3 linked regions of the Drosophila melanogaster genome follow. The protein of the gene in region 3 interacts with the protein of the main gene of each other region in a pairwise test. Each region holds a gene or a part of one and is shown on either strand. Other genes may lie near its edges.

What was found.
Region 1: the proteins of eIF2Bbeta (region 3) and eIF2Bdelta interact in a two-hybrid assay, tested with the Drosophila melanogaster proteins (one large-scale study listed by BioGRID).
Region 2: the proteins of eIF2Bbeta (region 3) and CG15478 interact in a two-hybrid assay, tested with the Drosophila melanogaster proteins (one large-scale study listed by BioGRID).

What each region holds. Positions count from the first base shown.
Region 1 is NT_033778.4:23,382,864-23,392,558, reverse strand, and holds eIF2Bdelta (eukaryotic translation initiation factor 2B subunit delta), read right to left. Parts: upstream 6,039-9,695; 5' UTR 5,937-6,038; intron 5,770-5,936; 5' UTR 5,762-5,769; coding exon 5,732-5,761; intron 5,656-5,731; exon of another isoform or gene 5,553-5,655; coding exon 4,947-5,552; intron 4,888-4,946; coding exon 4,327-4,887; intron 4,271-4,326; coding exon 3,587-4,270; 3' UTR 3,507-3,586; downstream 1-3,506. Other genes in the region: Mtmr6 (myotubularin related protein 6), read left to right, coding at 656-818, 886-1,169, 1,233-1,367, 1,435-1,664, 1,742-2,254, 2,311-2,553, 2,618-2,840, 2,901-3,038; roh (reduction of Rh1), read left to right, coding at 6,262-6,442, 6,514-6,581; CG30414 (uncharacterized protein), read left to right, coding at 7,233-7,446, 7,512-7,554, 7,610-7,857, 7,913-8,325; CG13551 (uncharacterized protein), read left to right, coding at 9,462-9,511.
Region 2 is NC_004354.4:7,709,658-7,721,597, forward strand, and holds CG15478 (uncharacterized protein), read right to left. Parts: upstream 8,276-11,940; 5' UTR 8,134-8,275; intron 5,460-8,133; exon of another isoform or gene 5,314-5,459; intron 4,835-5,313; 5' UTR 4,827-4,834; coding exon 3,168-4,826; 3' UTR 3,126-3,167; downstream 1-3,125.
Region 3 is NC_004354.4:2,701,012-2,709,524, reverse strand, and holds eIF2Bbeta (eukaryotic translation initiation factor 2B subunit beta), read right to left. Parts: upstream 4,955-8,513; 5' UTR 4,808-4,954; coding exon 4,752-4,807; intron 4,689-4,751; coding exon 4,602-4,688; intron 4,533-4,601; coding exon 4,076-4,532; intron 3,986-4,075; coding exon 3,600-3,985; intron 3,532-3,599; coding exon 3,459-3,531; 3' UTR 3,308-3,458; downstream 1-3,307. Other genes in the region: CG2681 (uncharacterized protein), read right to left, coding at 1-561; CG2680 (uncharacterized protein), read left to right, coding at 2,183-2,572, 2,669-3,196; Ugalt (UDP-galactose transporter), read left to right, coding at 6,069-6,237, 6,750-7,687.

The sequences.
Region 1 (9,695 bases), on a different chromosome or scaffold from region 3:
TTGCCCACTGCGTATACGTAACGAGGTTGCTGGCCGGAAGCAGGCAAGCATTGCATTTTAATTGCCTCGCCCAAATTGTATTAATTATGCACTCCCCGGAGCAAGTTGGCGCATTCGAGTGCCACAAGTGGCCCAGGAGCGTAAGTGTCGGGATTCCGGATGAGTCGCACTTGCGGGGGCCGCGCAAAGTGGTTAATTAAAAGTGAAAACACTTAGGATCAGAGCACGAGAGCCGCCGTGAGGGGGCGAAAAGAGCAGGCAACTATCGATTTTGTGCGCCATTGAAAACTGGTTGCTTAGTTCCTCATAATCCGGTTGCTTCTTCCCTCCCCTGTCTAGCTCCGCTTCTTTTTATTGCCCGCCACTGGGGCGCATCAATTATTTAGTGGCGAAAGCAGTTCTGTTCGGGCACGTAGCTCCCGTGTCCAAGGGGGGAGTGAAGTTTTGCTTTTGCCCGCGTTGCATAAGAGCAGCCTTGGGCGAAGTCACGGTCGCAAGCTGGCTTCTTGGATGTTTCGCTCACAAAGGGCAGCAAACCATAAGCAGCAATCATCCGAGTAGCTGGGGGAAATAAGCCAACGCAACCCATTCTCTGCAGATTTATTAACCACACCGGACGTTATATACTTGTATTTACGCTTTGCGCTCTCTTCAGATCCTGCACATGCACGTGGCCAGCATTGAGAAGCTTCCCTTGAGCACGACAGGATCTCCGCTACTCATCCGCTGCAAGACCTTCCTCTCCGTAACTTTCGTCATTCCCAAGGACTCCGAGTGCCACGATGTCTACACTTCGCTGCTGAAACTCTTCCAGCCGGGTAAGAATCCACCAAACACAACAATGCGGCCGCCATTCACAAGCCTACATTCCTATCCCGCGAACAGTGTCCATCAACAAATTGTACTGCTTCAACTACCAGCCGAACAAGGATGATTTCCCCAAGAACGCTGGCTGGGATTACTTTAAACTGGAGGCGGAGTTCAAGCACATGCTGGTGCCCAACGAGGCCTGGACGCTGTGCTCCATGAACGAGAAGTACGAGCTGTGCGACACCTATCCGCGTCAGATTTACGTGCCCAAGGAGGCCACCACGCTGATGCTCATCAGCAGCTCGCGATTCCGCTCCAAGGGGCGGCTGCCAGTGCTCACCTATCTGCACAACAACAAGGTTAGGCGAAGATATACATAACTCATATTATCAGCAAACTTACATAACTGGGAACCACTGCAGGCTTCCATCTGCCGCTGCAGTCAGCCCCTGTCCGGATTCAGTGCCCGCTGTCTGGAGGATGAGCAGATGCTGGAGGCCATACGCAAGACGAATTCCAACACGGACTACATGTATGTGGTGGACACGCGACCGCGGGTGAGTGTGACAGGGGAATCTCCCGAGGCGAGCATAAATGCAAATAATCCATTTACGCCATTTGCAGATTAATGCCATGGCAAACAGAGCCGCCGGCAAGGGATACGAGAACGAGGCCTTCTACGAGAACATCAAATTCCACTTCCTCGGCATTGAGAACATCCACGTCCAGCGTGCCAGTCTGCAAAAGGTGCTTGAGGCCTGCGAACAGAAGTCGCCCACGATGAGCGCCTTCATAAATGCCCTGGAGTCATCCGGCTGGCTGAAGCACATTCGCTCCATATTGGACACGTCGAGGTGAGCCAACAGACAGGAGAATCTCCCAATGGCATTGTGGACTGAGTTGTTAACATTCTGTGTGTGTCACCCTGCAGCTTCATCGCCAACGCCGTGGACAAGGGCGTCTCGGTGGTGGTCCACTGCTCCGACGGCTGGGACCGCACGGCCCAGGTCTGTTCACTGGCGCAGCTGATGCTGAACCCCTACTACCGAACCATCAAGGGCTTCCAGGCGCTAATCGAGAAGGACTGGCTGGCATTCGGGCACAAGTTCAGCGAGCGCTGCGGTCACATCCAGACGGATGCCCGCGAGGTGTCGCCGATCTTCACACAGTTCCTGGACTGTACCTGGCAGCTAATGTCGCAGCGCAGCGAGGCCTTCGAGTTCAACGAGCGGTTCCTGCTCATCCTGCACGACCATGTGCACTCATGTCAATTCGGCACCTTCGTGGGCAACTGCGAGAAGGATCGCTTGGACCTAAAGCTGGCCGAGCGCACCTTCTCGCTGTGGGGCTATATGGCCAATCACCTGAACGAGTATATCAACCCGCTGTACAAACCAAATGTAGACGAGGCCATTAAGGCCAACCTGGCACCGCAGTGCATCAAGTGAGGACTTTCTGGAATGAGCCAAATCCTATATAAACTATGCGCTTCTCACACAGGTTCTGGCGCGGCATGTACAGTCGCTTCGAGAGCGGCATTCATCCGCGGGAGCCACTGGGCGACGTGCTGCTCGATAGCAAGGAGCACTGCAACTCGCTGGAGGACCACGTGCAGCATCTGACCAAGCGCATAGCCAGCTTCAAGAACTACATTTCCAAGTCGGCCAAGAAACTGCAAGACGCCACCAGCGCCCCTGGCAAAGTGAACAAGGAGCTCTCCAGCAACGAGATCAATGACAACAAGTGCGTATGATAGATATTAGTTATTATGCTATAGTATGCTTTATAATCCATCCGCTTATTGCAGATACAACTACGATAAGAAGCTTAGCGAACTGTCTGCCGCCGACGACGATCATCCGCTGAAGGCCAGCAACATGTCCTTCGCCAGTCTGTCGCTGAGCGCGGAACAATCCAGTCCGCCGCAGGCGCTGCCCGAGGAGATCAACTCCGTGGCCGTAGACTGGAAGCCCATGCGCAACGTAACCACCTGCTCCTGCTCCACGCCCTTCGATCAGTTCAGCAAAAAGGTGGGTAACTCCGCGTACTTAAGCAAGCCTGCCACTGATGATGATCCAATCCTCGAATAGACTCACTGCTGGCGCTGCGGGGACATCTTCTGCGAGCGCTGCATAGACAAGAACGTGGCTCTGCCAGGACACGACAGTGGAAAGCCGGTGCCGGTGTGCCGGGGCTGCTTCCGGCAAATGCAAAAGCAAAGCCCGTAGAGGCAAGGCAGGCAGGATCGAGGAATGGAGCGGAGCTAGGGTGTGCAATCGATATGGAAACGCTATTAAATTTATTGTGTGTATTTATTGTTGCATTTGTAGACTTAGCTGCTTGTAGAAGCTCATTCAAGTTGTTGCAAATGGAAATCAAAAGAGCAAAACCAAATCAATCCACCAGCGATTGGCTTCCAGGCATCGTCCTAGTCTATAAGCCGGGCACAAAACTGTATTTTGTTATTAGAATCTAGAGCTACATATTTGCTAATCCCAGCCCCACCCGCACGGAAAGTACAATTGCATGTCAGAGCGCAGACTTGCTCTTGATCAAAATATTTATAATTTCCGAGGAACTCGGCGGTCTGCCGGATGTACAGACACTTGGGCCTAGCCCTCCTTCGCAGCAGCGGTCCCTGGCATCAAGCATATTCCACTAGCATACCCGTAAATTATGAACTACGCATCAATCTTGTTTGTCGATTTGATCAAAGTGTAATAAAACTTATTTATTCAACAACTGCGAGTTCTACTGAGCGATCGATGAAGTCTGATTAGTAGCCAATGTCTGGCTTGATGCGGAGTATGACGGGAACACTGGTGCAGGGCAGGATGGCCACCTCGGTGACCACGGCACTCACCAGCTCCGGCGGAGTAATGTCGTAGCTCAGGTTGAGCGGCAACAGCTTTCCCTTGGCCGCCCAGTTGCTTAGCTGGCACTTGTCGCCGCGCACCAGTTGGTTGGGATCGCTCAGCTCGTTGTAGACGATGGCGTCCGTCTGGAAGCGCTCGCTGAACTTGTGCGTCTCGCAGCACACGAGCACCGGCACGTTGTGGGCATTGGCCACCAGGGCCACCTGGGCGGTGCCCGTTCGCGCCATCACGTATCCGTTGGCCAGCAGGGCGTGTGCTCCCAGCAGCACCTTCGTGGCCTCCGCCATCACATAGCCCACGGCGTTGATCAGCACGTAGGTGCACGGGATTCCGGTGGCGTGCAGTCGGCGCAGCAGCTCCTGGCCTTCGCATCCGGGTCGCGAATCGACGACAATCACGCGGAAGGCCACCTGGCGCCGCTTGGCCTCCTCGCAGATGAACTGAATGAGGGAGGAACAGGCGAAGGTCAGCAGCACGTCGCCATCGGTGATCTTTTCCTGCAGAAAACCGCTGATCGCTTGGGCCGCCTTGCCGATTTGATTTTCAATGTAAGTATCGATGAAGTGGACGAGCAGCTCCTTCGACTGTTGAGCAAATGCATGTTACCAATTGAGTTAAAAAAATATATTTTGATTCTTACCTCCGTTTCGGGAACATCCGCCGGCAGCTGTGTCAGTTGGTTCTTGAATTGTTTGTACGCATTGGACACGGACACGGCCAGCGGTCGGCACTTGTGCAGGTGGTCTACGTGGTGCTTCACGGCGGCGTCCAGGCTGCGACCAAACTCCTTCTTGGCGGGCGTCTCAAAGTCGTGGACAACCTGGCGCAGGGCGTGCAGGAAGGCAATGCATCGAGCATTGGACCCCACCACCGTGCGCTTGGCGTACTGAACACCCAAGCGCGCAATGCTCGGATGAACGAGTGGATCGTTGATGAACTGGCTGTCTTCCTTGGCGCACACCAGATGGTTGAACAGCTTCACCCGGCAGTCTACATTGGGCGTGCTGGCTGGACATTTGACGGGGGAACTGCTGGTGGCCGCTGTGGTGGGGGAAACGCTCTTCCGGTTCGGCCCTTTGGGAGCTGCGCTGGGTGGTGCCTTGGCTGCATGCTGGGCCTTTTTAGTCTGTACCTGGGCCTTGGCTGCCCGTTGGGCTTCTTGGATAGCGCGACGCTCCGCTTTGCTAAGAGCTGGCTTTTTCTGTGCAAGGTGAGGTGAGATGTATATGAAGCAAGGAAATCATAAATGTAGCAAGTTACCTTTTCCTGGTCCGCTTCTGTTGTCGAAGGTGCAGCACTGGCTGCGACTGGAGCTTTTTCTGCTACTTTCAGGTCAGCGAGCTGTTGTGCGATGCCCTCTACCTTGGCTCCCCCGCCTTTGCCAGCTTTCTTGGCTGCCTTCTTGGCCTCGCGTTCCGCCTTGATCTGCTCGCGTGTCTTTTCACCCGCCTCCGCATCCTTGCCATTTACCGCAGCTGGCTGAGTCGTCTTTGAAGCCACTGCATCCTGCACCTTTGTTGTGGTGGTGGTCGTCAGCTTAGTGGTAATGGTGGTCTGCTCCACTTCAGTGATGATTTTGGTGGCCGGAGCAGAGGGAGTGGTCAGAACAGCAGGAGTGGCGGCAGTAGGAGTCGGTGCAGTTTTCTGTTTCTTGGCCTGCTTAGCCAGCTTCTTCGCCTCCCGCTCGGCCATTATCTGGTCACGAGTCTTCTCCGTGGCCAATGGATCCACAGCATTTCCGGGCATTGCACTCGTGGCGTCGATGGCTGATGTTTCTTGTGTCGTTGAATGGCTGTCTTCCAGGCGATTTCGTTTGTTGCGCGGTCGATTGCGTTGCCTTTGCTTCTTGTGCTTGCTCTTCAAAGTCTGGGCGTCAGTCCCAGTCCAGATAGGGAGTACGGAATTAGTTATTGATGTAACAATATGTAAAACTATCAAACTGTTTGGATCAAATACGAAATCAAATCGGCCGACATGCTAAATCAAAACTAAATTTGGGAAACTCGCTACTTGGCAAATTAGTTACTAAGAGGCAAGCTAGCTACCTGTGGCACCTGTTCGCTAGTTAAAACCATTTTGAAAGCTTGAAAAGAGAGAGACATGGCAATTAAGGTGAAAAAGGATGTGAAAAGGTTAAAAAAGGTTCAGACTCCTGTGGCGGTGCAATTAAGATCCAAGCTGAATCCTGCGTCTATGGGTAAGCACGAATGCTGGCTTATAGCACCTAAGCAGTGTGCTTGCTGTCTTTACCTTACGATTCTATATTATTATTCGGGAAAAGTAACTCGAAAGTTTTGCTCACGATGGCAAAAAAACGTCCACCAGTTGATAGCGATGTAAGTGAATCGATAACCGTCTTGATTCGCCGCGGTAAACACATGGCCGGCCTTGCCAGACTCGCTAGCAGCCAGTGTCATTTTTGGTGCTTTCCTCGCCGCACGAGTTGGCATTCCCATAGCTGTCTTTTATTTGTGAGGTTCGTATGTTCGTCTGCCGCCTCCGAAAATTACATAATTTTTGCGTAAATTGATTTCGTTTAATTCGACCCTCCACAGCTGCGAATTCCACGACTACCATGGCCGACAAAGCTGCTGCCGAGAAACCCGCTGGACGCCCCATGCGCTACCCATACACTTTCTCCGCGAAGATAGCCCAATTCCCCATCAAGCACTACATCAAGAACCAATGGATCTGGCGCTACTACTTCATTGCGGCCGTGGCCTGCGTGCCCGTGTTCTACAAGATCAGCAAGCTGGGTGCGTAACACTCGCCTCGCGACCTCTGGGCCCCTTGTACTAATGCACTTCTCCCTCCTGCCCATTTTCAGCCAACTCGCCCGAGAACAAGAAGGCATGGGCCGAATCGCAGGCCAAGGAGCACGCCGAGCACCACTAGGCGGCCAGTAACTTAGTCTTAATTGTCGCATCAACATTTCAGAGCTGTTTGTGTCGGACCCAACGTGAAATCGGCGAATAAATGATTTGAAACGAGGTTAAACTTGATTCTTATTGGAGAGTGCACTGCAACATCCAAATACGGTCTTATTATGCGGCTATGACACCACCTATGAGTTGAGTTCGGTCACACTAATGATTTGTTATATGAAACACAAATTAAGTTGCTTGTTACTATTAAAATTCATAACTAGCAGCATTTAATTGGATTTATTAAAGAATAGATTAAATTATATTCCACAACTGATCGCGATGAATATTCGTTTACCCAGATAACTGCATTTCGAAGGGTTAATCGAGAAGCTAAGCAGGAAAAATATTCAAGTTCAAATTTGTATAAGTAGTTGGCGCAAGACAAAGCATCACAGGGGTCTAATTTTTGGTAGTGAGTTGGAATTTCCCCAGATTCGTAAATAAAATAAAAATAAAAAAGTACTGAGAGCACTCATTAAAACAAAACACTGATTCCTATCATATCCGTTTCCGTTGACGGTCATAAAGAGTGTACTGTTATCAGCTGGTCAACATAAAATTCCTCAAAAATTACCTCAAACTCGACTAAGCTTGCCAGTCGCTCCATTACCGCGAAAAGATGAAGTTCATCGCAGCTGGATTAGCTCTTCTGGTCTGCTCCATCCAGTTGGGTGAAGGAGCACCTGGTCACCTGCTAGACTCCAGTTGTGGCACGACAAAACCAGAATTTATCCCAATGATCACCGGGGGCGCAGACGCAGGCCTATTCTCAAATCCATGGATGGTGAAGGTGCTAGGCGAGAAACTATGTGGTGGCTCGCTAATCACCAGTCGTAAGTATTCAAATGTGGCCCACGAATGAGTTCTTTGTCCAGTCACCTGCTGCTAATACTTTCAGGCTTCGTTCTCACGGCCGCCCATTGCATCGTTAGTACACACATGTAAGTGAGGCAGCACTGTCTTTCGGCGAACACTTACGAATTCCCATTTCCACAGGAGAGTACGCTTGGGCGAGTATAAAACCCGCTTTCCTGGCAAGGATTGCTCGCGCTGCGTGCCCAAGTCATATAAACTCAGGAGAATACGCTTGGGCGAGTATGACACCCGCTTTCCTGGCAAGGATTGCTGCGTGCCCAAGTCATATGAACTCGCTGTGGATAGAAAGATTTTGCATGCGGATTATAACCTAAACTTGGACAACGACATCGGCCTGTTGCGCATGAAGAGCTTCGTCCAGTACTCAGGTAATGAGGTGGATCCAGCAGCCAGGGCTCCCTAAGCAGTGGACATATCTTTCAGACTACGTCCGGCCGATCTGTCTCCTGGTCGAGGGACACATGGCGGAAAGTCCCATCTTCAACATCACCGGCTGGGGTGTCACCAACGATGGCACGCCCAGCCGGAGGCTCCAGAGGGCCACTGTGTACAACACCGACCTCCACTTCTGCCGAAGCAAGTTCACCAAGCAGGTGGATGAGTCGCAGATTTGTGCTGCTGGCACAAATAGCGATGCATGCCACGGCGACTCGGGAGGCCCGCTGAGCGCACAGGTTCCTTTTGCCGGCAGCTGGCTGACCTTCCAGTACGGACTGGTCAGCTACGGGTCGGCGGCATGCCATTCCTTCTCCGTTTACACCAACGTTACGCACCACAGGGACTGGATTGTGAACGCCATCGAAGACTTCAGCAGAGCTTTCCAGCTTAGACTCTAGCTACTCATAATAACATTTCGTTGGCTTTTCTAAGAAAATATTATCAATCCAAAATATTATCTCGAGTGGTTTAATGGCTCCCCTGACTTCTGTCGTAGACGCCATTCGGGTCAATAATATCTGCATTAGTATTTATGTACATAAGCGAAGCTTATCTTCAGCAAATTTTAACGCTATACGCAGCGAAGCCTCGCTTTGACTGATTCCCCAGAATTCTGGGGAAAAACCGAACCCTTGGAGAAGGTTCACTTCTACACCCTCACTGGCTGGGGTCACACCGCAGACTATAAGCCCAGCCGCATTCTCCAGGAGACCACTTTGCTTGCGCTCGAACAATCGTGTTGCAACAGCAACTTCAACATCGAAGTCGACCAGTCCCAAATCTGCACCACTGGCGTGGACAGCGATGCCTGCGGTGGGGATTCCGGGGGCCCGCTGAGCGCGAAGCTGCTCTTCGGGTTAAAGAAGCGGGCTTTCCTGCTCGGACTCGTCAGCTACGGGGATGCATCCTGTAGGATCTTCGAAGTGGCCACGAATGTGACGCACTACGTCGACTGGATTAAGGCAACAATCGACGAGAACTCAAGTTAAAGCGTTAAAGCGTCAAGTTAGAGTCCAAGTCGATTGAGAATTTAAATTTGTTGCTAGTAAGAAATCTGCAATTGAAATATTAGTTTACCATGATTAAGTAAACAACAGAAGAAGCTTAGTTTTATTTGCAGTATGCAAAGGGTATAAAGCGTTATCGATTAAAATCGCAAGCTCACATATTCGATAGACCACGCCGACTGTGCTCGCTCTGCCGCGAAGGTATTATTTAAGGGTGCGCCTACGGTCACTCTGCAGAAAACTTTTGTCGTCGCAAAAATGTAAGTAATGTTCAAGCGCGCCGCACTTTTCCGGCATTAAATCTAGTATGTGCATTGGGTATTCGTGTATATATTTTATACAAACAACAAACAAAGAACTGGCTAAAAATAGCGGCTCTTTTATTGCGACTTGGTTTTCGAAAAAGTTCAATGCACTCCGTTTTGTTAAGGAGACGGCTTTACAGTTACTCTTCGTAATGGAGTTTTCTCAATAAATTGTATTTTCTGCGCTTCTCTTGCAGCTAAACTACTCAAGAATCAAACAGAATGTTCGTTGTACGTCGTAGCGCATCTCGTCTGTACCCCGCTGGAGTCCAGTGAGTTTCTACCCACATTTAACCCCCGTTCATAACTACCTGCTAATTGGCTTACAAGACTTAACAGAGCACTCATATCTCATTCGCCATATTCAAAGTGTTATGTATGCCCCCAACTTACACTTTCCTCAATGTTCGATAAGATAAACAATTCCGATCCCATCGAAATCGCTTTCACCCTGCG
Region 2 (11,940 bases), 5.0 Mb from region 3:
GTTTTCTTTTCATCGTTTAGTTTTTTTTTCAACTTATTGGTTTAATTTTGGTTGTACATTTGGTATTGTGTAAATTTTTATTGTGCATTTTGTTGCTATGCTTACTTGCTTTTGATTTCAGAGTGTCATTTGGTATTGCTTTGTTTTAAATTTTGCTTTAATTGCTTTTCTGTAAAGTTAAGTTATAGTTTTATTGTTGTTGTTTTTGATAAGTCATTGTTCTTATAATCTGATTGGTAAAATTTTCTTTTATTGATATTCTTAATATTGTTTCTTAAAAATGTCAAACAAATGACTACCTCCATCTCGCTTGCCCGCACTGTCGCTGCTTTTGTTGTTTTAGTTTCTTGTTATTGTTGCTTTTGATAAATGTCAAACAAATAACGGCAGCTCTTCTTCTTATTCTCTCTCTTTGCTCTTTCTCTCTCTTCAAGTGGGGTTCTCTCTCACTTTTGTCGCTTATTCTCTCTCTTCCTCGTTGGTCCTGTATAGCACCATCCCACTCGCACCTAGCCCCACTTTGTTTTGACGCAAAATGATCCCGTTTACATTACATTTGCCTTTGATTTTGCGTCTTCGTTTTCGCCTATCTTCTTTTCTTGTATTCTTTTTTTTACTTTGAACCCTCCCCAGTTATTGCTGGAATTTTCGCTGATCAAATACGCATTTAAAAATATTTCTACAATACATTGTATACAAAAACTATTTTACTATTTTTTAAGTTACTTAATCATCATATTTGTAATAAGCGTGCTGCCACAATTAGTAACTTTGGATTAAGAAAATAAACTAAATAAATACCATAAACAAGAAATAAAAAAAGTCATATCGCTATCTGGAAAATTTTCTCATAAATATGTATGAGCAAATAAAGCGCGTTCCTCTCTTAATATAATCAGCATTTCGAGCTCATTTACAAGCATGAATTTAATACAACAGCAAAGTCAAAAAAGTGAAAAAAGACAACAAAAGCAGAACAAATAGACAAAAAAAATGCGAGCACTCACAATAACATGATAATTTGCCGAAGGCCAAATAAAACTCTTTGGTGGTAAAAGCAAGACTGCCTTAAGGTAGTCTGATTTGATTTGTTTGCCAAGTTGGGACCAAGTTCGTAGTTGCTCGAATTTACTTATGTATTTAGTGTCTGAAAATTAAAAGGAACAAATGAAAATTGATAAAGAAATATTTTGAACGGCGCGCCAATTAAGTGCTACCCATGCGGGCAATTTAACATGGCTAGCATTGACCGTCGATAAATTTTTAAATGCTCGATGTAACGGTTTCGTGTGCAGTATCTTAAGTCATAGATGGCGCTCGCTGTAACGGCTTGCCATGTGCTAACTTAATCCATAGATGGCGCCAGATGTTTCGGTTTTAGGTAATTTTTGAATTACAAAAACTAGTTTTTCTGTGATTGGGGTTCAGTTTCTTCCTAAAGTAGGCTTAAACCTAATCAGAAATTCGGATTTTCAAAGTTAATTTAGTTGTTGCAGGTACAACTTATAACAATAATTAAAATAAGCTAGTAATATAATATCGAGAGACAGTACCATTGAATAATCCCATTCCACCCTATGCAATAACTCTTTTTCACGTCTTCTTTAATTTCCTTGCGCGTTAGACAAACAAATCTATCAATTAAGGGGAAAGCTTTAAGCTGTCAACACGCCCAAGTACTTTTGTCCCCTTGGGATATGCTGCATTCATTGTTTGTTAAAAAAGAAACTCCACCCCATCTTCGCCCAAAGGATTTTCAACGCTTCTTCGGGTTTTCTTGAAGTATTTTCCTGTTTTTTTTTTTTTTTTTGTTCGTTGCCAGTTAGCCCGAATTGTCATTGGTAAAATTTTGTTTACAGCCGCAAGTTGATCTTATTGCTGGTTGGTATATCCTTACCCACACCCACTATCATCCCCATCGGGCTTGAGTGGAAACCGCTGCCAATTGTCGACTGTTGCATGAATTATGAGCGTCTGCCAAGATTTATGAATTTCGAGAGGATAACAAAAGTACGCAAGTATTCATGACAGGACCCTCCTCTAACCGCATAGAAATCCCCGCGGCAGCAAAAAGGGAAAAATCTGTCAGCTGTTAAGTTGAGTTATAAATTTCCTGCAATTAGGTTGAATTTCAATTTCGCTGCTATCTCTTCTTGCTACTTACTTTGATTACACAATCATGATGATGATGATGATGAGACCCCCACTTTGCTTCTTCTTTTTTTGGCCCCGCCTCTCTTAGCGATGTTCATGCAAATTTTTATCGACACTTTTGATTCAGACTGTACTCGTGTTGGTTTTTTATTCACTTTTTTGTTTTGTTACTGCTGCTTTGATTGGCTTTCAGTGCACTTTTTCTGCCTCAATGTGCAGAAATTTGCAAACTCATGAAAATCCATACGTTTGATAACAATGTTAAAGGGGGGGGGGGGGAAAACAAGAAGCAACATAAATAAAAACGGAAACGGAAACGAGCCTGGTGAACGCACAAGTCGCCACGCCCCCACCGTTTTGCATTGCAATGTGTTCATTAAGCAACCGGGTAGCAAACAAAATCAATGAATGGTGTAAAAATTAATATCCTGTGGGGCTCAAATGAAAAAAGAATAAAAAAAAAAAAAAAACGAGGAATGCAAGAGAACTGTGGCGGGAATTGGGTGGCATTGTCATCGTCAGCAGCAGCAGCCGGCAGCAGTTTTAATTTACACAAAGCGTAGTCAGGCGTGTAATGCTCGGTGGCGGTATGATGAAGGCTCCTTTTTTATGTGGCGCCCAACGTTGGTGGGCCTGAAGCTCGACAATTCGTGCAACGACATTTAAAAAATGCCTTAAGGCAGCAAATACGTGGAAGATGAACCAACAGGCGACGACGACGGCGTGAAATGATTTATGAAATTACTTTTACCGTTGCATATTTCTAGGGGCAGGGAAACTTCAACTTGGGCCACAGTTTCAGTTACAAGCTGTCATGTTTATTTGCAAAGAAACGTTGATTTGATAGATCTCTATCATTTTGTTGTATAAGCATTTATTGAGCGCGTAACTGTTTCTTCTTATTCTTCAAGTTACTTACCTTCTCAAAACCACCAATTTCTGTAGAAAATGAAATAAACAATGATCATATTATGGACACATTAACTTTATTCGTATTATTTAAATAAGTAGCCTCAATCGATTTGCGTGATGGAAGCCTCGTCATTGCTGGAACATCGACTGCTCTCGCCATCCGTGCGATACTTGATGGAGTCAATGATCTCCACATCGATGTCACAATTGCCCTGATTGCCGCTCGTTCCCTCCAAACCGGCACCCGTATCACTGGAATTTCGTTCCAGTGAATCTTCATCGCAAAGATCGGGTGCCGAAAGTGAGGCACTAACCGATGCCGATTCCGACTTGGCATCGATATCCTGACTCTGCACCTGCGCCTGATGGGCGGCAAACTGACTGTAAAGGCGTGGCAGATGTTGCAACATATAGCTGGCGCCCGATTTCGATAAGTTTGCAGCTGCAGCAGCGGCAGCAGCGGCTGCCGAAAGATTAGCAGCCGTACTGGACGGTTGATTTTCCTTAGTCTCGCCCAGATCATAGTATTTGGCATAGTGCTCGAATTTGTTGCCCAATGTGCTGGTGGTCACTGCACCACCACCGCCGGCGTTTGATCCTGCCGCATTGGCGCACAGATTGATGGCATCGTTTTGGGCCGCCTTGGGTATGGGTACAGTGAAGGCGGAGCCATGACGCTGTTTGCTCAGCAAATTACTGGCCAAACCGGAAGCGGAAGTGGCGCCCGAGCTGGAACACGAGCCGGGTGAACCTTCTTCGGCAAGTGCATTATTGCTACTCGAAAGCGGTGAGACATTCTCCTTCTTTCTATCGTATATATGTCCGGAAACGCGAAGATCGATGAAGAAGTGCAACGGATCGATGCCGTAGGGTGCATAAAGTGGTGGATACCAAACCGGTGGTGGTGGCGGCAGGACCAAATCCTGTGGTGGCAACGATGCCGCCGGCGGTGTATTGTCCTGCAGGTTAGTGTCGACGGCACCACCCAGACCACCAGTCTTATTGCCAGCCGTTGGTGGTGCCGTCGTTGGCGTTGGCGGTGTTATACCCATAGCACCTGGTTTGGTTTCCATTTTGGCATAGCCATAGGGTGTCATTGCCTTATTGGTCAGCTCTAGAGGTTTCTCCGGCACCAGTTGCTGCTGAAGTTGCTGATGTTGCTGCTGCTGATGCTGTTGATGTTGCTGCTGCTGCTGCTGCTGCTGCTGGTGTTGCTGCTGCTTCTCCTCTGCATCGCGTCGCTCCCGCAATTGCTCGTAGTATGGACGATGCGACCAGGAGCGTTTTCTTGGCCGCCTCACCAAGGCGGCCTGATGTTGCTGCTGCTGTTGTTGCTGTGCCTGCTGCTGCTGCTGCTGCTGTTGCTGCTGCAGCTGCAAGACACGCGCCGTCTCATTATTTCGCGCTTGCACCAAGGAACGCAGCATATCGCTGAAAAAGAAATTATTTGGTCCCACGGGTGCGGAATACAAATACGGTGGTGTGGCTGCCATTAAACGACTGACGTAGTCCTGATTTCTTAGCTCATGGATGTTGCTCTTGCTGCGTTGCTGCGGATTTTGCGGATTCGTTGCGGTTGGATCTGCAGCAGATGCTGCTGCCGCCGCTGCTGCTGCTGCTGCTGCTGCTGTTGTGGGCGTACTAGGCGCACTGGGCGTGGCATTGCTGGTGGTTACCCCTGCTGACGCTACTGCTCCTCCCGTTGAGCATGGCATCCCTGCTGTGTTGCTCGACGAGATGCTGTTACTGCTGTCCTTCATTGCTGCTGCTGTTGGAGAAAAAAAGTTAAGAACACACAAAAGACGTTGGCTCAGTTCTGTGGCTGAAGTCACTTGAAATTTATATTTGTATAGGGATATATATTTGCATTGTCTTGGACTGGCATTCCACCGCCTTTTCCATGCTCCCGCCCAACCATTACCCACGGGACAATTAAATCTGAATTTTCTGTTTGCTCCGAGTGAATCTGTCTCGATGTATAAATGTGTGTGAGTTTTCTCGGTTGGCAAGGAAGTCTAAATAATGACTGAAGGGACTTGGTGTTGAACTTGAAAGCGTCTTAAGATTGACTGAAAATCCAAGATGTTAGCAAATGGAATGTAATTGATAGAAAAGTAGATTAGAAATCAGTTCAAGCATTAAGCATCAAGCCCGCAACCTTTAGAGTCCTGTATTCGTATAATTGTAATAGCATAACTGCCATGTGCATCAAATCCATTGTTCCACAGCTGCCGTCAGCTAAGCTACCTTTATTATAACTTTATTAAGCCAACATCTGTGCCCAGCACCCAAAAAACAAATGAAATTTGCATAGAAAAACAGGCGCGCAAGTTCCCTCACTCTCCGTTATCCCCATAATTTTTTTTCCGTCTCCAACTCCCCGCTGATCCCTTAAAAGCTGTTAATAAGCTTACACACATCGCGCCAAATTCCAGTAAATTAAATGTTTCAACAGCAGTGACACCCAACCACCCTCATTGCCGCCTCCATTTCCGCGAACGTTGGAGGACAAACTCAATTGTTGTGTTGCCAAACTGTTGAGGCACTTGACGCTGTGTCCTGGCTGCTTGTATCCTGTGCCGCCTGTGTGCCTGTCAATTCTAACCAGGAACAGTACAGAATCACGCATTGAAGGACCCCCCCCCCCCATTTCCACGACTCCATTGCCTTGTTGCTCTTTCATTTTCGCATTTAAAAAGTTTTTAACAACCCACAGACGACGCCTGTTACCGAATACCCTATAATAAAACGAAAGTAATATCAAGGAGTACACAAATTGAACAATTTGAAGGCATTACTTAGTTTGTGAACTTTGAATTAATCCTTCATGATTTTTTCCTTCTATGGTTTCTATGGTTTTTTCGAAAACGAAAAACATAATTTGCAATTATTCATTATAGAATATATTGCATTTTTAGGTATCATCAGCTTCTATACGATTGCTTGGAACATTCATTTGCATTCCTTCTGTTTTTTCCGTTATTCCATGTTGGATTTGTGGAATTTTTTATTTTTATATTGTTTTTTCATTTCGTTGTAAAAATATATAAAGTTTTCAACCGTCGCAAAAGGAATATATGATTGGGGGTTTCGGAGGCGGAGATTTTCAAACGGACGGGTGTTGATTTGCATTTTTTGGCAGCCGTTGTTCGTGAGAGGTAAAAATGTTGGTTAGGGCGACATTTTTGCGACAAAGTTAAAATTAGATTATGCTAATTAAGGCGCGGTGGTTGTGGGCGGTGATAGGCGTGGCCAACCCGGCATCTGGTACTCGGTGGAAATTCCGTTGATTTTCCCCGGCACTGATTGATGCTGGGCAGAGCTTTAATTGCCAGTTTCTCTTCTCATTTTTAAATTGGTTATGGCTGTGGTGGCTCTGGAGCAACTGGCAGCATTTTAATATTCAATCAGCAGCTGTCGGCCAACTTTCTTTTATGGCCCATGCCCAAGTTTGTGCATAAGTTTTGCAGCTGAGAATAAGTCCGAGAACTAAAAATATGGAGCTGAGATTAATGCGCAAAGTGCATCCGACTTTTGTTTGTCTTTCGTCTGGGGATAAGCTGAGTACTAACTTTTGCGAAATTCTTTTTTTTTCCCCTTCTCAAACAGCGTGGCAATTAAAACCAGAGTAGAAAGTAATCCCTCCACTGGATTCCCCTTGGGTGGTGATCCACCCACTCAAGGCTGCCCAGCTGATTGATGTCGCATCATCGATGTTAAATTTAAGCCACCACCGGAAAATAGAAGAGCCGATTGGGATTGCGGGCAACCCCTGTAAGCGTACACTTAACTGGCACTTGGGCTGGGCAACCTTATAACATAATTACTGCATATCAAACAGCGATAAGTTGCCCATGCCACTTCATTCCGAAATCACTCTGGAGTTCATCTTCCCACCCATGGAGTTGGTTAGCAACCCTCCTCGTGCTCACCTGGTGTGCAACCCTGAACGAAGTCTATGTTCGCATTTTGTGCCATTCAGGCGCGGTTGTAATCTTTGTAAAGCGTGATGTATCGTGTAATTGGCGCCCAATGTGGGGCTTTATGAACAGTGGATTGTTATCGGGTTAGTTAAATAGTTTCAAAGGATGAAGAATTGGAAAATATGTAGCTGCCTAAGAATGTAAATCTGAAATTAGCTAATAATTTTAAATATAAAAAATTTTTTTATGACCAAACTAGATCGCTCAAATGACTAATAAATAACATTTTTAACCCTTGCTCGTTAAGCGTCCTGCCTGTTCCTGCCCTGTGTTTAAGCCACCCCGCTCATATCCACGCACATATGGGGACAAATGAACTTGTTGGTTTGTTGGTGACATGGCGTTGTGGTGTTAACGTTACAGCGTTTGACTGCGAATTAAAATAATGTGCCACTTGTGGCTTTCTGTCCATGTGTGTCGGCTACAGCAGACAGTTACCCCTGCCCCGCATCCGGGGAACTCTGTCCCGTGTATGTTGTCCGTATTCGTGTCCGTTTGGGTTGCCTGAAAATTTGACAAAATTTCATTTGCAACTTTGCCCGCTGCCAGAGATACGCATGCATCACAACGTTTTTCAAAATCGAATTTGCGTTGAACCCTTTCTGACAGGTTCTTCGTGTAGATTGATCTGGGATTTTGCAAAGGGTTGAAGTAAAGTGCAACCCCTGGATGCGTTTGAATTATGGCTAAATAATTTCTCCAATGAAAATTTGAAGTTTAGCTTGGATTGTTTCGGTTCATAGACTGACTGAAGTGCATAAAGTATTTTTGGTTTTATTCTAATCATTTGGATTAAATGTTTCAAGAAAGATTAGTAAAGTTCTTGGGTTTGTTAGGCTTTGATCGAAAAGTTTAATTGTAAACGAATGCCTTATGAAGCTTATATATAAGATTTTATTAGCTTATTATTAACCTTATTAAAATATCAGGTTAATTATTAAGAATGTCCAAATTGTGTTTTATTAAAAGAGGAGTTCTTAAGTTGGAATATAATCATTGATTGCATTTTCACAATAATATTTTTTATAGACGCGTTTTTTTAACACATTCAAATCCGATCTTGCGAGCTGATCAATTTTCTCACCTATGATTACTATATTGATAGATATATTTGTTTAAAACTTATTTCACTTAAAAAAAATATATAAAATAATATAAGCACTGCTTGGGTAACGCGTTGCTAGCGGTCTGAACTGCCGTCGATGACAGTTAAAAATCAAATGAAATGAGTGCCAGCAGCGGCAACAGCAGGAAAGCAGAGCAGCATCCAACGAGTCCTGAGGCCGAGACAGAAACAGAAAAACAGAGACCGAGTACCAGAACCAGAACGAGGCGAGTTCGGTGCGATTTTAAAATTATGAATTGTTGTAAATGAAACGAGGCGTAAGCAGAGCGCCAGCAGAGCTGCTAGGTGGGTGGTGGTGCGCCACAGTCGCTGTGGCATTGGTGGTGCGCATCAGCAGCAGCAACATCGACTGTGGCAGTAGCAGTAGCAACATCACCAGCAGCAACAGTGCTAAAGTGTTCATGGAAACCACCCTCGAAGAAAGGTAAAAAGTTTTCAAAAAGACGACCAAAACTAGAGCGAGACGTAAGCTCATTGGTCTATGGGTTGATCGCTTCCGGTTGGTGCAGTCTTGCCAAATTTTACACGTTAAAGATCGACTGGGAAACGGAAGTAAAGAGACCTTCTTAAAATGGTTTTGTTTAGGTAATGAACTGCTTATTTGGCGCCCAACCTGGGGCTTATGTGCTTCGGAACACAAAGCATTATCATATCATGCATTATCATAAATCAAAATTCTAAGAATTAAATTCAAGAATAAGTGTTATATTTATTACTGTGATGGAACTTTTTTTTTCCACATTTCTCGGGCAACGTTCCCCGGTTTCAATTACCAATCTCTGGCGGATGTTGCCAGTGGAACAATGGATGCAGTCCTTGGCTACGGGCAACGTGTTGCTAAAACGACAGCTCAACTGCGGGAGTAGGTGGGTGATGGGCCGGTTTGAGCAGGATAAGCTTATAATTTCTATTACAATGAAGGCATGCGGATGCGGTTGGATATGTAGAGCGTTGCGTTGCTTTCTTTGCTTAATTTTTTGCTGCCACCGACTGTTTGCGACTTCATTAGCGACACCTCCCCACAAGCTGTTGCCAAGCAATTGCATCGTGTGTCTGTGTACGAAGATCACTGGAAAAATTTCACTGTTATTGGTATAGTTGTGTGTAGTTACTTGTTTGTTCTAGTACTCAGTGCTAAGACTTAAATAATCATAAATAATTATGATGAAGGTATGTGGATTTTATTTAAACATTTAACAGTGGCTATAGCATTTTTCGGCTGTGCATCTTTGCAACTTGCCATCGGCAATGGAATCTGAATCCAGAGCAATAGCTTTGAAAAACTCGTGTAGCTTTTTTTGCAGTTTGCTGGGCTGAGCTTGTTTGAAATAAATACCGCATTTTTTGGCTCGTCCTTTTTTGCACTAGTTGTTAGCTGTTGCCACACGTTGGTTGCGTGTTTGCCACCCACTCGCAGTATTAAAAAAAAAAAAAAAAAGAAAAGCTCCCATGGCTGCACATCAAACGTCAGCACGGAAGGAAGCTGTTTCTGTCCAGGGAGTTTGGGTATGGGCGTTTGGCATTCGGCATTGTCTAGCATTCCCCGCCATCACCCACCAAAAACCCACACCAAATCCATTTTTCCCTCACCCAACGGAGGCTGTGAATGTTTACACTTTGGATTTGGTTCTGGTCGTCGCATTTCCCTTCCACCTTTTTTTTTTTTAATTTTTGTTTGGACTCGACTCAGCTCGAGATTTTGAATACAACTCGGTTAACGGTTGTTATGGCAATCCGTTCGGAAAAGGGACCTGGTTTTATAGCGTGTAACAGCGGCTGTTGCAGTGGGGAAGCCCCTCGAATAAGTTGCAAGTTGGGGCGGTCAAAAGATGTGGAATTTCGAAAATGTTCAGCATATCAGAAAATGAAAAGTATGATCAAGGTACGCTGATGAATAAAGTGTGATTTAAATAGGTAGATCATAATATGTTTGAAATGCAGAGTTGCATTTCGATATTGTGTTGATCGATGAAAGTTTGAAGTGATGCTGATTCCTACATAAATTAAATATAAAATTAAATTTATAGTTATTTTCGAGGGACATGTTGCGTGCTTTTAACAATTTAAAGACACTATATCTTCCTCTCTTTTATAGCCGCATGCAACGTCTCACACATGCCACACAATTTGTGCCACTTTTGTGATGCGCATCCATTTCCGCTTGGGCGGCGGCACCACTTTCAACGCTCCACCCATCCGCCAAACCACTCGCTTGCCATATTATCCTTGCTTTTATTATGATTTTTTTTTCACATTTCACTCGAGCGTTGATTGAAATGTTGAGCGAACATACACGCACATATACAGACGGAGAGACAGACAGAGAAGGTTTGAGGTGGTTGGGTGGTGAAAGCAAACAAAGCGGTGCGAAAGGGAAGGCCATACGTTGAGTGGTGGTGGGTGGTTTTCTGGGCTGGCTGGGCTTATTTGTTTGTTTGCATGTAAATTGCAATGTACCACCGTTCTTAGACCTGCACCCTCCACCCCCCACCACCATTAGCCCGTTTCAATTTTTTAGATTTTAAACTTTGTTTCTTGTCTTTTTGTTAAATGTTTGCCGCTCCCTCCGCTGATTGTCATTTGCTTTTAGCGCCGCATTACCACCCTCCATTCTCCATTATGAGTGGTTCGCGCGGTTGGTGGAACGTCCATCATCCATCCATTTCATCCATCCATCAAGGACAATCAAGGCAAACGCGCGAGAGCTTTTTGTGGGTTTGATTTTGGGCTCAGGCCAACAAAAAAAAGATTCCTTTTCCTTTTTGGCCCAAAAGCGGGTAAAATATGCTTTTTGGGGGGCAGCGGCTAATGAATTAGTGGGCGGGATATTTAAAACTTTTTTCGTTGGACTTTTGCATAAATTAAATTAAAATTTTATTTTCTGTTTGGTGGGGGGTGTCTTTTAAAAAGATTTTGAATTTTTTCAAGTGAAACACCTTGTAAATATTCAATATTTATTTAAGTTTTTATACATTTCATACATTTGTTTATTGGCATTATAACTCTATTACCACGTGGCCACATACATATGTAAGTATTTCTGCATTTTCTCTGCCCTCCGTGAAAACCCAGCTTGCAATCCTGACAATGCGAACAATCTTGAGCAGCTTAAGTGCCGCTGGCGTCGGATTTGGCAAATATCCGTCAGATACACACAGTGTATCACAAAAGATATCCATGGAGCAGGAATCCCAGGAGCAGGATCCATTTGCCACACACCCATTTCCATTTCCATGTCCCTGCACTCACGCAGACTGTAATCGCTTTACGTGCGCTTTGTTGACAATTGTCAAGTGGCATTCAGAAATGGGTGGGAAATTCTATGGAAAAACTCATGGAAAGGGGAAAGGGAACGTTAGAGGAACATCATTGACGCCACATGTTGCCGGCGACAGATGCGTTGGATTGCAAATTGTCCCAGGTAAAGTGAGTTGGCACTGCTTTTATTTCGCTTTTCACTTTATTGAGACAGTTCGGATTGTCAGTCAATTGGAGGCTTGAGATTTGCATTGGATGAATGGGGAAAAACCCACACACACCCACAACTGGCAAGGCAAACAAACAACTGGGGCAAACAACATATTTTGAACGACAATTTTCACGCATGCAAATTAAGCAAATGAGTAAATTTTGCAAAAGCAATTTTCTAGCTAAATCGCTGGATAAACTTGGCGTTCGTCTTCTCAAAATATTAGTCTTGTTTTGATTCATTTGATACTACCCGCAACTCCACCCCCATTCCATTGTCCCCACGCCACGCCCACG
Region 3 (8,513 bases):
TTCCTCGCTGGGCGTGGCAGGGCTCTTTTCCGGCTTGCTGGGCGTGATGACGCCTTCGGGAAAGCTCTGACGGATTATGGAGCTGTCCGGCGAGAGAGCTCCATTGCTCGCTGGACCCTTGCCATCGGCGGGACCTGTACTGCGGGTGCGGCCCAGCATTGGCGGCTTAGGGGGCGGCGAAAGTGGGGATCGCAGGGTCACCACATTCGGACTTGGCAGCGTGGCGTATTTCACGTTCAGGGTGAGCGTGTTGGGGGGCACTGGTTTGGCTGGCTCCACCTTTTCGGGTTCCTTCTGCTGCTCCTGGGCTGGGACCTCATCAGGCGTTTTCTTCGCCACCTCCTCCGGGGGCATCTTCGTAGACTGCGGCTCGTCTATGGCCTTCAGATTCTTCTCCAGGTCCTCCTCCCGAACCGTCGATCCGTTTGTGGCCTCCGGCACCTCCTCATTGATCGTGCTGTTGAGAAATATGCGGCGCTGCTCGTTGATCTGTTCGATGCTCTTCAGCTGAGCCAGAATTTTTAGATCCTCCTCCTTTCCACCATTGGCCAGGGTAGACATTTTCGGCAATTTTCCTTAGTTTTTGACTAGTTGTCGTCTGGTTGTATAACCGCCGGGAACAGTTGCTCCAAGCTCAGGTGGCCGAATGTGCTTTTCTTCTGGCGGAATTCTTCGCAAGCGTTCGCAACTCGTACTTTCGTATCTTATCAGGGAGACGCCTAACTAAACTAGCTGGCCCGGCAATCGATTTGGACTTGTGATGCGATATACCAAAAAGCCGCAGCCAAAACCAACCAAACCAAACCAAACCAAACCAAAAACGCAGCCGAACCCCAAGCGACGCGACTCACACGCGCTCGCACATCAAGTACCCGCCCCGTTGGCCAGTTCTTTTGCCTTCACCGCCGCGGACGCGGACATGGACACGAGCGTCTTCCGGACCCCGCCAATTGAAATGTTGCATTTGAATTTGAATTATTGGCCATTTGTGGTTTCCTCCGTTCCGGCGGCTTTTCCATTTCCCCCTCTCCGCTTCCGTTGGCCAAATGCCGCAGCCATCAATGTCAAGGTGTTGACATGTGTGGCCAGGGTCTACGGCCCAGCACAGTGGGACCTCCGTAGGGCGACAGGCATTCTGTTGTCTACGCTGCTGAACTTTCGCAATTGTCATCATACTTATTAGTTTCTCCATGCGTCAACTGTACCTTTGCTTTTCGAACTGAGGAAAGCGTGCTCATACATGTTTCCTCGAGTGTTCACTGTACACGTTTGTGCCTGCCTGTTATAAGCTTGAGCGAACAACAGCAGCAACAAAAGGCCGATGCACCACCGATCAATACTTACATACATACATATGTATGTATGTCAATCGCCTTCAATCACGTGTATCGCAGAGGATTTGTAAGAAATGCAATTGAAAGGAAGAAAAGGAAGCATGTGAATCGCAAAATACATATAATATTTATAGCATGCCAAAAGCCTTTGAAATTTAATTAAATTTTTCTTTACAGCCATTTTGGGTTTGTGGTTTCGCTTTGATTGCATAGAATTGAATTCAATAATAAGGCTGTCAATTATTTCGAGACCAATATATTTCAGTCACATTTGGCAGTGGAACTAGTTCGATAATCTATATGGTTCTAAATTATATCCGGTAAATTCAAATGACAGTCAAAAGCATGAATAACCAAAATTTGACGAATGCAGCAGACTCATTTTATAAGTTGTTCCTTAAGATAAACTTGGTATAATCACGCGTACGCTTGATTGTAAATCCGAACTAGGAAGCAAATGAGATACATATGTATGTATGTATTTTCCGGACTGCTATCCGCTCTGTCCGGCAGATGGGAATGTGAAATAGACAACAAATCGCACGAGTCTTTCATGCCGCGTTCCACACAGAAGATCTTATATTTACATACGGAATCTTATCGGACGAGCCACTCCGCTCGGGTTCGCTAAATCGTGTAATAAAAGATACTTAGCACATATGTACGTAGGCATAGGGTTGTATGGGCGAGGGGTGGTTGGGTTCGGGTTCGAGGAACCGGGGGAACAATGTCAATGCGTTGACATTGAAGGTTAAATGCCGGCAAAGGCGGTTAGTCGGCTGTGGAATTTCCGTGCGCGCGCAACCAGCATCCAATTCGTTCCTGTAAGCCAAAAAACCAACATTACCATGTCGCCACCACGACACATTTTGAAGCTCAGCCTCGAGGAGCAGCGGCAGTTCATCGATTCCTTCGATTTGGTGATCAGCGACTGCGATGGCGTCGTCTGGCTCCTGGTGGGCTGGATTCCCAACACGGGAGCCGCCGTCAATGCCTTGAAAGCGGCCGGCAAGCAGATCAAGTTCGTGTCGAACAACAGCTTCCGGTCCGAGGAGGATTACATGGAGAAGTTTCGCCACATCGGCGCCAAGAACGTCCAGGAGGACGACATCGTTCATCCGGTGAAGACCATTGTCCGGTACCTGAAGAAGCACAAGCCGGGGGAGCGGGTATACTCCCTCATGTCCCTCGAAGCGAACGAAACGTTACGTAAGCACAACATCGAGTTTGAATCGCTGGTAAGGGGAAGGTTATTACTTATAAATATATATATACAATATATTTAGTTCAAGAGCTTCCGTGTGACTATTAAATTTCATATCATTCTCCTTCAGCAAGTCAAGGAGCACCTGACGGCCGCGTCGCTGGTGGATCACCTGGCCATTGAAAAGCCCGTGGGCGCTGTGCTATTCGACATCCACTTGGACCTCTCGTACGTGGAGCTGGCGAAGGCCATTAGGCACCTTCAGGAGAATGACGACTGCCAGTTGATAGCCGGCGGCAGCGATGTCATCATGCCACTGGCGGAGAATCTCAATGTGGCCGGGTTCTTTGACTTCCTGGAGCACGTTAAACGCTACACGCAACGCGAGGCCACGTTTCTGGGCAAGCCGTCTCCCATTTTGGGCGAAATGTTTGGCGAAATGTTCGAGATTCGTGATTGCAAGCGCTGCATCTTCATCGGGGACACACTGGTGCAGGATGTGCAGTTCGGCAAGGCCTGCGGCTTCCAGTCCCTGCTGGTACTTAGCGGCTGCCTAACAAAGGAGGACATGCTGAACGCCCCGGTGGAAGCGCAGCCGGATTACTATGCCGATAGCCTGGCCGACTTCACGCAGCTGCTTGAAAATATTCAAAAATAGGTTGAGGATCGTGTGCCGCAGGGAAATTACGAGAAACGTGCTACCTGAAATTAACTATATCAACCCAAGATAAAGTAGTAATGTTCTTAAATCGAAAACCGATCCACCGTTATTGCTTATTCGATATAATTATTGTTGAATTTTAAAGTTTATAAATGTCTACGAAATTGATGCATTTAAATCAATCCAAATCGAAATGGGCTTGCTACTTTACTGTAGACTTTATTGGTAGAATTGCTAAAACAACGAGACAAACACGATTTCAAATCTCCAAATCTTCGGGATGATACAGTTCCGTAAGGAGGCGGTACACATACGAGGGGGCATGGCCACCGCTAAGTAAAAAAAGAATCCAATAAATGCAATAAAAAAGAGTCGAAAGGCCGATAAGCGCACTACTTACGTGTTGGATATGAAAAGGGTGACCAGTTCCGGAGGCACGTAGTCGAACATGGGACTGTATACCTTGGCTTCGCGCGCTGGAATCGAATCGTAGGGTATCACATCCTCCGCACAGCCGACCATATTGAAGGCGTCCTGCTCGCACAGATGCAATGGTGAGAGTTTGTACATGGGCGCCAGTACAATGACCGGCACGGAGTAATGCTTGGCGGCCAGGGCCACTGTATACGCTCCACACGCCGCTCTGAGTCCTCCATTAGCCAGCACGCTGTGCGTACCGATTATTACCTTGTTGACGCGCGACATCATAGCGAAGATGGCCGCATCTGGGATCACAACAATCTCCACATTCTTCTCGTTGGCCAAGCTGGCGGCCAAATTGTGACCCTGTAAAAGACATAGGCAGTTGTTAAGCAACATAAGAGCATTTTCTTACACCCCACAAATACTGTCGTCCCATAAAGAGACCCAACTAACCCGGCAGGCTGGCGCACATTCGGCTACGATGATGGTGAGAAACTGACGCTTTTTGATCGCCCTTTTGAGGAAATTCTCGACGCTGCGCGAGTGTCCCAGTGTCAAGATGATCTCCGACGAATGGATGTGCTCCTCGGCCTGGACGCAGATGTTCTCCGAACTGGTCTCCAGCTCCGTTTCCACCTCCTGCAGGTGGTCGAGCAGCGCTTCCCGCAATCCATGCTGGGGCACCGAGTAATCTACGCTGACGTTGCTCTCGCTGGTCTGCGTGACTAGCTTGTGAAGCGACAGCGAGGCCTGTGAGTCGTCCGCGAAGTGTTGCACCTTGGCGTGCAACAGATCGAACTCCTCGCGAGTCAGCTTGAGGATCCGCCTGGCAATGTTCGAGGTAACCGTCTCCTGGGGCAGAGCTGCCTGCAGGATCTTACACTGGTCGCGCACAATCTGCATGAGAGCACTGTCAAATGAGGGGGAGTTGTTTATCAGTTAATGTGTTATCCTTGGTGTGCCATCCCTTGCAACTCACTCGGCGTTCTGCCAGCTCTTGCTCATGATGATGTACTTGAAGATGTCCAGCGTCTTGTTGGTTATGTTGTAGGATCCCTCCACCAGCCTGCAAAACATATGCCACTTTAACAACCAAATGAATCGCAGTGCCTGCCAACCGACGACTTACCCCACTTTGATGGCGTGGATGAGCTGTGTGATCTCCTTTAGCGGCTGTTCCTTCATCGTGTCCTGGCGTCTCTGGTCTTTGCAATTATGAATTATCAACTAAAGTGGCCAACTGTTACCATTATTCAGTTAGAAAACTATTTACGAAATCGCCACACCGAGCAATGTTATCGATAGGCGGCAGGCGAAAGCGAATTCTAGTGATGAACTCAAAAAAGTAAAAGATTTAAAATCAACACGGAAATTATTAATGTTTTCATTTATTGCATTTGATTAAATTAATTTATTTAATCCCCCCAAATGGCAATATATTTGTAATGTTGTATTGTAAATTTGATGCATCGCAATTATCAGGTGCCGCCAACAGGTTGTTCATCATTCACTGGCTTAATTTGATGTTTTATGTTTATTTTAATTGTCTGCATATACTGGCTTTCATGACGTATTTTCAACGGCAGCTGAGTAAATAGCCAACCTAGTGCGGCAAAAATAAATTTCGCTGGGCTTAAAAATTTAACATACATGTGCATGTAGAACAAGCATGCACAATATGTATTTATGTATTTCGTCCATGAGTTTTCTTGTTTTCTACTTTCGATCCCCATGCTCTCTTGTTAAATTTTAATTTTAATTTTAAAGTCATAATATATACATTAATTTAAGCAATCTCAATGCCCGATTATTGTATATCTAGCTTTTTTTGCAAGCAACTTCTTTTTTCGCGAGTTCCGCCACAATGCCAGCACTGTGACTATCGAAAAGTCGGTCTCTGCTGCGAAAATAGCAACAAAAGCTGCACGCCATGGGCGTAGCTTGCTTTAAAATGGGGATCCATCCCCCAGGAGCATATGTAAGGTGTATTTACTTTACTGAAATGCACAATGCACTTTTAAATTTTGTTTGCATTCAATTAAGAAGGTTTCGCATTTATGACCCCCGTTGCAAGCCCAGGACCACGTCCCTGGCGCGCAGCAACAACAACCACATAGGCGGCGATAAAAAGCCGCCGCTGGCAGAAGCTTCGGGCTCTGATTGTTGTTTACGTGTCGCCCGGTCCAGTGGAGTCGTCTTCATTTGCGCTCTTCTGCTTTTCTGGCCAACTTGAAGGGAACGAACTGCCAAACGGAACGGCCCGCCGACAACTGATCTTGGCCAGGAACGGAGTCTTTGTGTACCCCCAACTACGGCGTTTTGTTTGCCTTCGGTTTCTATTTGGTTTTGGAGTTGAGACAATAGAGCTAGAAGCGTAGCACCATGAATAGCATACACAGTGAGTATTTGGCCTTTAGTGCGGTGGCGTTACTCCAGCGGTACTGACATGGCGCTCCTGCCCGCCCCCGTCACGTATTCCTATTCCCATCGCACAGTGAACGCCAATACGCTGAAGTACATCAGCCTGCTGACGCTGACCCTGCAGAATGCCATCCTGGGCCTCAGCATGCGCTACGCCCGCACCCGGCCAGGCGACATCTTCCTCAGCTCCACGGGTGAGTGCTTATCCAAAAGTCCAACAGGTCGTCGGGCTCAGCAGGTCAAGCCGGTTCACCGCTTAGCAGATTCACCTCGTTGCCCAGAGCCACTTCCACGAAACCTCGACGTGGGTCTGTCCACGCAAGCAGCAACATCAGCAGTAAAAGCAAACGAGTCGAAGAGGTGGAGGTGAAGGTGGTGTAGGAGCAGTGGCAGGCGGGGAATGGTCGTTCGGGTAGATGTGAAGCTGCCAAAGAAACTGATAAGCAGCCACTTCCGCATTTAGCTCCTAATAGCTTGATAAAACTGTTGGGGAACTTCTACCGCGATAGCTCAAGGAGGTTTGGTTGGCATTCTTGAATTACATATGGGTTTACATTTTGCCATTAAACTTTGGTTATTGCTTTGGTGACTCTGTGTGTAAGTTAACCGGACTTATTTGAAAACCCGAACAGCGATACTTGGACTTATTAGTATATATGTACATATATTTGATTGATTGATTGCCATTTTGCGCCCTCTTTCGCAGCCGTACTCATGGCAGAGTTCGCCAAACTGATCACGTGCCTGTTCCTGGTCTTCAACGAGGAGGGCAAGGATGCCCAGAAGTTTGTACGCTCGCTGCACAAGACCATCATTGCGAATCCCATGGACACGCTGAAGGTGTGCGTCCCCTCGCTGGTCTATATCGTTCAAAACAATCTGCTGTACGTCTCTGCCTCCCATTTGGATGCGGCCACCTACCAGGTGACGTACCAGCTGAAGATTCTCACCACGGCCATGTTCGCGGTTGTCATTCTGCGCCGCAAGCTGCTGAACACGCAGTGGGGTGCGCTGCTGCTCCTGGTGATGGGCATCGTCCTGGTGCAGTTGGCCCAAACGGAGGGTCCGACGAGTGGCTCAGCCGGTGGTGCCGCAGCTGCAGCCACGGCCGCCTCCTCTGGCGGTGCTCCCGAGCAGAACAGGATGCTCGGACTGTGGGCCGCACTGGGCGCCTGCTTCCTCTCCGGATTCGCGGGCATCTACTTTGAGAAGATCCTCAAGGGTGCCGAGATCTCCGTGTGGATGCGGAATGTGCAGTTGAGTCTGCTCAGCATTCCCTTCGGCCTGCTCACCTGTTTCGTTAACGACGGCAGTAGGATCTTCGACCAGGGATTCTTCAAGGGCTACGATCTGTTTGTCTGGTACCTGGTCCTGCTGCAGGCCGGCGGTGGATTGATCGTTGCCGTGGTGGTCAAGTACGCGGATAACATTCTCAAGGGCTTCGCCACCTCGCTGGCCATCATCATCTCGTGCGTGGCCTCCATATACATCTTCGACTTCAATCTCACGCTGCAGTTCAGCTTCGGAGCTGGCCTGGTCATCGCCTCCATATTTCTCTACGGCTACGATCCGGCCAGGTCGGCGCCGAAGCCAACTATGCATGGTCCTGGCGGCGATGAGGAGAAGCTGCTGCCGCGCGTCTAGCTCTGGAGGAATCCGGATCTGCCAACAGTATTTGTCCGTAACCCGGAGGCCGCCGTTCGGTAATTGCTCTGGTGTATCCGGTGCATCCGGTGTCCTTGATATTCCCCACGTTTTGTGTGTATATATATTAGGATGGATATTAACGTCTGGACAATTCGTAGCACTTTCTGTTGAGACGATAATTGTAATGTAAAGCAGCGATAAGAATACTTAATGATTTATGTAATTTAAATGTATTTAGGGTATTCACTAGCGAAACTAAAGTGTAGTTAATGAAATGATGCAGCTTGAATGCACGTTTTATTGATCATTTTAATTGTTACTTTGCGAATGCTGAGGAATGCCAGCAGTATTTACTGGACAACACCACACATACCGTGCCTATCCTTTTGTAAATATCCACTTGCACTCAAGTTTAGACTAAGATTTGTAACGATTTATAGTTTTCAAGTTACACTTGATGTTCGGCCAATTCACAGCCACAACTACTTTTGTTCGAATTTTTTTTTTAGAAGATCATATATATGTATATATATTTACTTGAATGTGCATTATTTATTCATTGCCAATTACTTTATTTTTGAGAAATCCTAGGTTGAGCCAGCCCAGACTTATATATTTGTATTTGAACTAAAGTCGCATTACTCGCACAGTGTTTTAAGAGTGATTCCATATCGATATGTTTCATTTCCTTTGAATAAATATTAGACGAATAAAAGGCGTATTTTACTCCATCAAAAAGTAATAACAACTTTCAACCCACGATAAGTAAAAGCACAACAAAGGTTTTGGGGTCAGTTTTTTGCTTTATTGGCCAAGGAAGGTT